Linked DNA regions of Callithrix jacchus. The protein of the gene in region 2 binds, or shares a complex with, the protein of the main gene of each other region. Links are inferred from orthologs where the notes say so. Each region holds a gene or a part of one and is shown on either strand. Other genes may lie near its edges. The genes, in order: HSPB8 and BAG3.

Region 1 (4,600 bases), on a different chromosome or scaffold from region 2:
TGCATGTACTTTCATAGGTAGTCTGCACGTGTTTAATCTTTCCTACACTCTTGCAGGACAGGTATTATTGTAATCCCCATTCTGCAGATGGGAAAACTGAGGCTCAGCGGGATGAAAAGAATTTCTTGTCCACATCCACCATGCTAGTGAAGAGCAGTGCTGGGATCTCAACCCAGGTTTCGAAGAGCATCTATTATTCATTATTTATTGGCGCCTTCCTGGGTGCCTGGCACTCTAACAACGACGACAATAATAATACTGAAATGTGAAAGGAAAATAAATCTGGGGCTCCCAAATCACTAAGCTAAAGGGAAAAGTCAGGCTGGGAACTGCTTAGGACCAACCTGCCCCGCCTTCTATTCATAGTCACCCCTCTGCTGGCTGACATAGATGCGTGTCTGATTGCCTCCCTTGGAAAGGCTGATTAGAAACTCAAAAGAATGCAGTCATTTGTCTCTCACCTACCTGTGACCTGGAAGCCCTCTCCCTGCTTCAGGTCTTCCTGTCTTTGCTTCCAGTTGTCCCGCCTTTCCAGACAGAACCAATGTACTTCTTACGTATATCGACTGATATCTCATGTCTCCCTAAAATGTATAAAGTTAAGCTGTGCCCGGACCACCTTGGGCATGTGTCATCGGGACTTCCTGAGGCTGTGTCACAGGCCTGCCCTCGACCTTGGCAAAATAAACTTCCTAAATTAATTGAGATCTGTCTCAGATTTTCCGCGTTCACGGGTACGTACACATTTTACAGCATCACCTCATTTAATACAACAACCTTATGGTGTAACTATTTGAACCCTAATTTCCAGGAGAGAAAGCAAAACAGAAGCACAAAGAAGTGAAGTAATTTGCACATCCTGCTGTTTAGAGTTGGAGCCAACTTGTCGGATCTCGTGCCTGGCTTCCCAGCCAACTCGGAGATCTGGCTGACCCTGTCCGGCAGCACGTGGCCCCAGCGTGTCTCCCGGCCCACCACACCCGCCAGAGCCTCTGATGTTTATAATTCTGCCGTGACTGGCTTGAAACTCCCCCTGAACGCTGCTGGGGCTTGTTCCTGCCCAGCCTTTGTTTGCAGTGGCTTTAATTGATTTTCTGGAAGGCAAGCCTCTGCCGGGAACACAATCTTTGTAATGGAGTATTAATTGTAAATCGGGAGGGAAGGAAAAGAAAGCTTTTTCTGCTGCCCAGCTTAACAGGGGTGAGCTTCCTGTCTTCTCTCTCTTTTTTCCCCCTAGTATGTTTCTTTCTCCCAGGGTGGGATGTGGCAATAATAGCCCTGGCCTAAAGCAGTGGACAGGTACAGTCCCTACTCACGTCCTCTTGCTGACTCATGGCATGACTGTGAGTAAGTCCCACCTAGGCCTCAGCCTCATCACTGCAAGATGGGCCTAGCCACCCCTGCTACTCTGGGCTGGTCTGAGGATGGTTTTGGAGAAGTCTGAGAATTTCAGCCCAGTCCTTGGTATCTCGTAGGTACTCAGTAAATCATCACTTCTTTCTGGCCTCCTAATTCTTAGATAGCCTGGGTCTGAATCCAGCGTTCAGGGGGAGTTTCAAGTTACTTCAATCTCTCTGTGCCTCGGTTTCCTCATCTGCAAAAAAAGAAGATAAACAGGACCCACCTCCTCTGGTTGTTGTATTAGCTGAGATGTTACAGGCAACGGCACTTAGCAAGGTGCTGAACACGTAGTTAGCACTCAAAGTTACCAGTTAGTGTTAAAATTACTGGTAAGCCTCAGTTTCCTTGTCTGGGACAAGGAGAGGTGTTTCACGGGAAGCCAGCTGTGGTTTTGAACACTATCACTGTTCAGCCTAACGTGCACTTCTAGACCCTGTGTTGTGAGGCTGGAATGCACCAAATCCCATTTCTTCTTTGTTTTTTAATTCTTTGATATCTGCTTAATCTATTCTTTCTATTAAATGCTCTCTGTCAAAATATCCAACATGGTTTCACGTTCCTGCCTGTACCCTGATTGATCAGCACCCAAAGGCCCTAATAGCTGAGTCAAGCAGGTTAAGTTCTCTCCAGGGAGCTGGGAGAGGAGCTCTTTTTCATAAAGATAACTTTGCAGGCTGCATTCCTGAGCCCTGAGGTCACCTGGGTCACACTGTCATAGCATCTGCTCTCAGGAAACTTTCTCCTGGCTATTCCCAGGGCTAAGGCCTACACCCCCTCCCCGATCGCCTCTCCATCCTGCCCCCGACTCACCAGACACCTCCACGTATCCATCTTTGGTCTTCACCTTCAACTCCTCCGGCTTGAAGCTGTGCACATTCACACACACTTTCCAGGGCTCCCCAGGGAAGGGTGGGGGGGTCCTGCCCTCGGCAGGCACCCCAAACCTGGCCGTGGCAGTGGGGCCCCGGGGCACCATGCCTGACCTTAGGGTGCCTGGCCAGGCTGAGGAGAGACGAGGCAGAGCCCAGTCGGGCCAAGGGGCCGTCAAGTCATCTGGGAAGGGGTCCATACCAAAGCCATCATCCAGCAGGCGAGAGGAGAGGGGAGAGTCCCGGAAGGGGTCTCGGCGCAGGCGGCTTGGGTAGTGGCAGGAGAAGGGCATCTGACCGTCAGCCATGGTGGCTGCTGAGCTCAGAGGGAAACAGAGGCTCAGAGAGACGGAACCACCTGCCCAAGGTCACACAACAAGGTGTTGTGGCTGGGCTGGCTTATTCTTCAGCTTCCGAAAAGGCTGTTCTTCTGCAGGGAGAAGCAGAGCCAACCGCTGCCAGGGACGGTTGTGCCCCCTCAGCTGGGGTCCCGGCCCCCAAAGATGACCACCAGGCAGGTCCAGCAGAATCCCAGAGGGCCCCTCTCTGCACTGCCTCACGACAGACCAGCAAGCCACTGTCCTTCCAGACCGCCCAGGCTGGCAGCCAGAGCCGCTGAGGTCTAGAGTGGAGCCAGGAACTTAATAAACCCAGGGCACGCGCGCCTAGAAACTTCTTCTGGCCCCTTCTGGGCTGCAAGCCTTCTATTTATTTGCTGCTGGAGGCTGGAGGCGGGTTTTGCAAGCGTCTCCTGTCACAGGAGTATTCGGAGGTGATGAACCAGCCCCAGAGAATCCACAGAAGGAACAGCTGGGCTGGCAGGGAGGGGCTGCGTCCAAGTTCAGCCAGCCTCTCCAGACACTCTCTCCTCCCCTGGCCACTCTGCTCAGCTCCGCCCTCTGCTCGCTCCGGGAGCTGGAGCCGCCCACCGCAAGCAAGGCACAGAGGCTTGGCTATTAATAACCCCGAGCCTGGCTGAGGGCTCAGGTCACCCTCTGGAAATACCTTCCCCAGAGCGTGTTGTATCCTGCCTTTCCCCTGGGGACCTGCAGAAGGGAAAGAGAGAGACAGGAGCTCAGTGGATTTGAAGGATGGCCCTGGGTTGGAATCCCCACTTACAAGGTAGCCAAACTCCTAGAGCCTCAATGCCCTCTGGGGAGAGTGGTGAAGAAAAAGAAGTTTTTAAATATGTATATATACATATATATATTCATGTGACACTTGTTAAAGTATGATAAGAATAGAATGTTTTTAAAAGATAAAAATGTTTTTAAAATGTATATATGTGTATATATATATTTGTATGAACCTTGTTAAGTATGATAAACAAGACTTTACTGGGCAGGGGAACTTCTCCATAAATGCAGGGATCCCAGAAATGGGATTTTGCAGTGAGGGAGAAAGATTGGACTCGACACCCAGTAGGTCATGGGTAAGTGGGAATTTGTATCCAAGAAGCAGGTGGGAGGGTCCGCGAATGAAAAATTACTAGGAGGAAGGTCCAGGGATCAGGGCGATTTGGCTCAACTAACCTAAGAGAATTCTTGCTGAAGACAGGCCAGGGTGCTCAGACATCACCTGGGGGATGGTGGAGGATGAGGAAACTAATCAGATATTGAGGGTGATCAGAAATCGAAGATGGGTGATTGCTGCTAAACAGACTTGGCAGAGTTCATGCCAATACGGAATTTTTATAAAGAACTGCACAGATGGGCTTAGGAGAAGATTCAGGAATCTGATTCATGTTTGGTCAAGCAAAGCATCTTTATCGGCAGTAACATTCTTCCCGGGCATCTCCAAGTTGTCAGTTTTCCTCCTTATAAATGGACATAATAGTAGCCAACTCACAGACCTGCCATGAGGAATACATGAGCTAATTCTCTTCCAGCACCCAGCAGTCTGATGGGCACCTGTGCATTTTCAATTTTGAGTTATCAACTACATAATGTTTGCTATAGGCCGAGCCCTGTTTGATGGACTTTATAAATGTGAACTCATGTAATCCTTACCAGCAATCCTGTGAGGTAAGAGTACCAGTATTATCCCATTTTACAGATGGAAAAACTACCATAGATGTGTTCATGAACAGTATCTTCTATTATTATGACTGTTGATACTGATAATTATCAAAAGGTGTTATACTCAGGCGGGATGTCTGGTCTGAAACTCAAAGCCCCAAATCCAGACTTTCCTGCTCCTCCCATGCAGCTGGAAAAATGAATTCACAAGTCCACCGTTGGCCCGGAGGCCTCTTGGGCTTGGGTTCTAATCTTTGATCTGTCCCCAACAGGTAGACAATTTGGGGCATGTCATTTTCCTTCTGTGGGCTT
Region 2 (4,430 bases):
AGCACAGGATCAAAAGCAATGAAGCACAAACAGCTCATGGGCTGAATGTTAATTTTCTCCTTAAGTTTTGGTGCCATGCTCACAAGTCTCAAGTCATTGATTTGGTAAAGAGAACTCTCTTCTTTTTTTTTTTTGAGACGGAGTTTCGCTGTGGTTACTCAGGCTGGAGTGCAATGGCGCAATCCCGGCTCACCGCAACCTCCCCCTTCTGGGCTCAAGCAATTCTCCTGCCTCAGCCTCCCGAGTAGCTGGGACTACAGGCACACGCCACCATGCCCAGCTAATTTTTGTATTTTTAGTAGAGACGGGGTTTCACCATGTTGACCAGGATGGTCTTGATCTCTTGACCTCGTGATCCACCCGCCTCGGCCTCCCAAAGTGCTGGGATTATAGGCGTGAGCCACTGCCTCCAGCCCGAGAATTCTCTTCTTGAGTTGATCATGTCCCATCATCAAAATCCAAGCAATCACAGCACAGAGGTCAGTGACCCAATAACTTGGTGGCCAGGAGGGCACAAAGGTAATCAAGTATTTTAGCCTGCATGCTTCACGGTTTCACAAAACATTCACTTCCACCTTCTGAACAGACACACTGCCTCTTATGAGGACTCTCCTGACATCAGTACTCTCCCTGCTATCGGTACTAGCTGGGTGACCTTCAAAAATCACACCTGAACTCTCCAGGTTTTTTCAGAAAATAAAGAAGCCTACCTAAAAGATCTTCAAGGACCTTTCAACTTTAACATTTTCACTGTGAAATTTTCAAATAAACCTTTCCAGCATCAGACTTCTGATTTAGTAGTTCTTACTTTCTATTTGTTGAGAAGAATAATGGTAACTAAACCTGCTTTTTTCCTTTTAAGGTTTAGGAAACCACAGCCTAACCCAGGCACCAGGTGGGTACAGGAAGATCTCAACTTGCTGGGTAAGTTTCATGCTGAGAACAAAGTACTGACAATGTTTACATTCAAACTTAATCTTCACTCATAACAAAGGCTGCCAGCAAATGCTACTGTCCCTATGTCTACAGGAAGAAGCCCTCAAAATAATAGTTGTAAACCACACTAAAGATCATGTACATCCACGCAGACTGCTAAGAAAGGGGGTTTGAAATGAGCGTCAGTTTCACCCAAAAATGGGTTGGACACCCAAAAAGGTATATTTAACTGTGCCCATCCCAGCTAATTACAGCCTCTTATATTAATTTTCAAGAATAAATATACAATTAATCTCTCGTAAATGTAAACTGCTGACTGTACACCATCTCACTGTTGGGAACCAGAGTTTTGTCAATATTGTTAAAACAGAACGTGTATAAAAATGAAGGGAAATAATATGGGTCTTTCTTCTAAAATCATGAGATACAAAGCATTTTTAATTTGCTGAGTTTTTAAATCTTCAAAATAATTTATCACCTCTTTTGCTGCTTCTATCTTGCCCAGACAGCAGTCACAATTACGTTTTAAGTATAACATAATTATTTTTAAAACCTTTTTATTTTGAAAGCTCAAATTTACAGAAAATGGAAAGAATAGTATAAGTATGATTTTTGAAAATTAACAGACTCATTCCAAACTTATGTTTTCAAATTTCATGCTCTTGGGGATTAAAAAGTATATATCCTTGCATATATGTAAATGAGACATACTTCTGCTATATTCACAAGAGTATCATTACTCAGTTATTTGTGTACTGGTAACAAATCCTAAGTATTTTAATACCATAACAAGGCAGGAAGCGAATGCCATTATAAACATACACATTATCGTTCTCTTTCTCTCCAGGGTGAGGCAATGTGGTAATGCAATGGCCAACTGTAAGACAGTCTCCCGTCTAGTTTAGAAACTGCTGGGGAGAAATGCACCCCGTTTTTAATTTTACAAGTGATAATAGGATACATACAGATCCAAAGCACTTTCAAACAATAATACAATTTTAATTTGACACACACACACACACACAGGCATAAATGTTTTGACACCAGCTTCCTGAGTCATTGGGTGCCTCAGATGGGACAGTAGTGAAGACATCCCTCAACCAAGTTAGGGAACTTGAGAGGTAAAAATCCCCCAAAACCACCATCCAAGCTTGTGTCTCCCTCGCGTTCGTGGACAGCGGGGTGCGCCGCGGGTCCCGGGCCCGGAGGCCAAGCGGGCAGCAGGGACTGCGGCCTCCGGAGCCGACCAAGCCGGCTGCCCTCCTCCAAGCTCGGGAGGGCTAGGCCAGCGCCGGACACCCGGCCCTCCGTCCTGGAGTCGAGCCGCGGACGGCACAGGGGCCACTGCGGGGACGGTTCCCGGGCCACCGGATCCCGGGGCCTCCTTTGGCCCGGACGCCTGTCAAGGGCGGGTCGGGAGCAGGGACTCGTCCGGGAGCCGCGGGAATGTGTGGCTGGGCGCGGAGCCGGTGTCCGCCTGAGAGGGGCCTTCGCCGACCCCCGGGCCCCGCTTCTCGCGTCCCACCCGCCCGGCCCCCTTCCCGCCGCCCGCCGTCGAGGTGGCGCCATCGACCAGGGCGGGCCGCGGGCCCGGCTCACCTTGGGGCCCTCGGGGGGCACGCGCGGGTCGTTCCACGTCGTGGTGCGGCTGTTGTGGTCCACGAAGAAGGGCCAGCCGGTCTGCGGGTCGATCTTGATCTCCCAGCCGGGGGGCAGGGGGTCGCGGTCACCGTTGCCGGACGCCACCTGCATCATGGGCGAGTGGGTGGCGGCGCTCATGCTGGGTAGGGGTTGGGGTCGGCCCGGAGCGGGGGCCGCCGGGGCGCGGGTGCGGAACGCGGGCTCCGGGCGCCGAGTCTCTGGCCTGGCCGCCGCCGCGGGCCCCTCTCCGCCGCCGACGTGTCCGGGAAGCCGGCGCCGGGCACCTTTATGAATTAAAGGCGGGGGTGACGTGGCCTGAGAGGGGTGGAAGTGTCTGGAAATAGCCTCCTCGCTGCTAGAGGAGAAGGAGGAGATAAAGGGAGGTAGCAACTGGCCGGCTAGAAACTTCTAGTCCCGTCCAGAGAAGTTGGCCGCGGCCCGGGGTTGGATGCGGAGCTCCGCCCTGAGTCATCGGCTATAATCGCGGCGGGCGGGGGCGGGGCCTCGGCCCTCTCGTTCGTCCCCGACCTCCCCGCCCTCCCCCGCCTCCCTCCGCCCCTCCCCGAGCCTCCTAGTGCGCGTGCCCCGGCCGGAGTGGCCGCGGGCGCGCCTTCGGGGCCTGACTGCGGATGGGACGCCGGACGCACTGAGTTGGGGTCGTCCTCCGTGCGCCCTGGGCGGGTTTCGGCTTTCACACTCCCTCCCTCCCTCTCCTTAGCGCCTAGTGAGTTTTCCCTGGGCCGGAGCCGGTCCTCCCCGTGCCTGCCGCCCCTCCTTTCTGTACAAACAAAGCCATCTCACCCACCCCATCCCCTCCCCCATATATGACAGCCCGGGACACTGAGGGCTGCCTGGGAGGAGCGCGGGGACGCTCATCTGACACTAGCAGGAAGGCAGGGAGAAAATGGAAGTCAGTGCAAACTCACTTGCCTTTCTTTGGAAACTTCAAGGAAAAAAAGATTGTGTCAGCTGATGGTTTTTAGTCTCCCAGACTAAAAAGAAAGTTTCGTTGTAGTAAACAGCTTTACAGAAAAATCACATTCTCTTGGGTTTGGATCTTTTTTATAGTAGAGGTTGGTTCTTGCTATCCTACATCTTGACCCTCATTTGGGAAGTAAAGACCTAACCTAACCGTGACATTTTTTCGCTTGGTTCATTGAATGGAGGTTGCACTTGTAACCTGCCAAAGGAGAAAATGACAACATTTTTAATTTAAAGATCTTTTTGTTTGTTTTTATTTGTTAACTTTTATTGTTAGTTTAAAGATCTTAACTGATTTTGTGATTCTAGAATTGGGCAACACCTCCATTAAATTAGAATAAGTGTTCCTAAAAGCCGAGCAGAAGAGGTTGGTTTTATAGACAGAGAAGGGCTGAAGAAAACAGAAACAAAGAACCAAGGCTGAATTGGTTGTTTTAAAATTACTTTCCTCGTAAGGAGGGGACAGAGAGAATCACAGAAAAATAACGGATGAGGGCTTGGCACTGTGGCTCATGCCTGTAATCCCAGTACTTTGGAAGGCCAAGACTGGAGGACCTCTTGAGTCCAGGGGTTTGACCAGCCTGGACAACACAGTGAGACCTACACCTCTACAAAATAAAAAAATAAGGCAGGTGCAGTGGCTTATGCCTGTAGTCTCAGCTACTCAGGAGGCTGAGGTGGGAGGCTCACTTGAGACCAGGAGTTTGAAGCTGCCATGGGCTATGATTGTGCTCCTGATGCCAGCCTAAGCGACAGAGCAGGACCCTGTCTCTTAAAAAGAGAGAGAGAGAGGGAGAGAGAGAGAGAGAAATGATTGGTTAACATCAGGTTACATACTTCAGATTACTGTACAATTGACCCTTAACATGGGT

Evidence for each region.
Region 1: BAG3 (region 2) and HSPB8 share a complex: the UniProt entries of both Homo sapiens proteins name them as parts of the chaperone-assisted selective autophagy (CASA) complex. The link is inferred for Callithrix jacchus from reciprocal best matches to the Homo sapiens genes BAG3 and HSPB8.

What each region holds. Positions count from the first base shown.
Region 1 is NC_133510.1:122,284,779-122,289,378, reverse strand, and holds the start of HSPB8 (heat shock protein beta-8), read right to left. Parts: upstream 2,955-4,600; 5' UTR 2,579-2,954; coding exon 2,212-2,578; intron 1-2,211. UniProt on the Homo sapiens protein: Involved in the chaperone-assisted selective autophagy (CASA), a crucial process for protein quality control, particularly in mechanical strained cells and tissues such as muscle. Displays temperature-dependent chaperone activity.
Region 2 is NC_133513.1:113,171,942-113,176,371, forward strand, and holds the start of BAG3 (BAG family molecular chaperone regulator 3), read right to left. Parts: upstream 3,030-4,430; 5' UTR 2,716-3,029; coding exon 2,536-2,715; intron 2,464-2,535; exon of another isoform or gene 1-2,463. UniProt on the Homo sapiens protein: Co-chaperone and adapter protein that connects different classes of molecular chaperones including heat shock proteins 70 (HSP70s), e.g. HSPA1A/HSP70 or HSPA8/HSC70, and small heat shock proteins (sHSPs), e.g. HSPB8.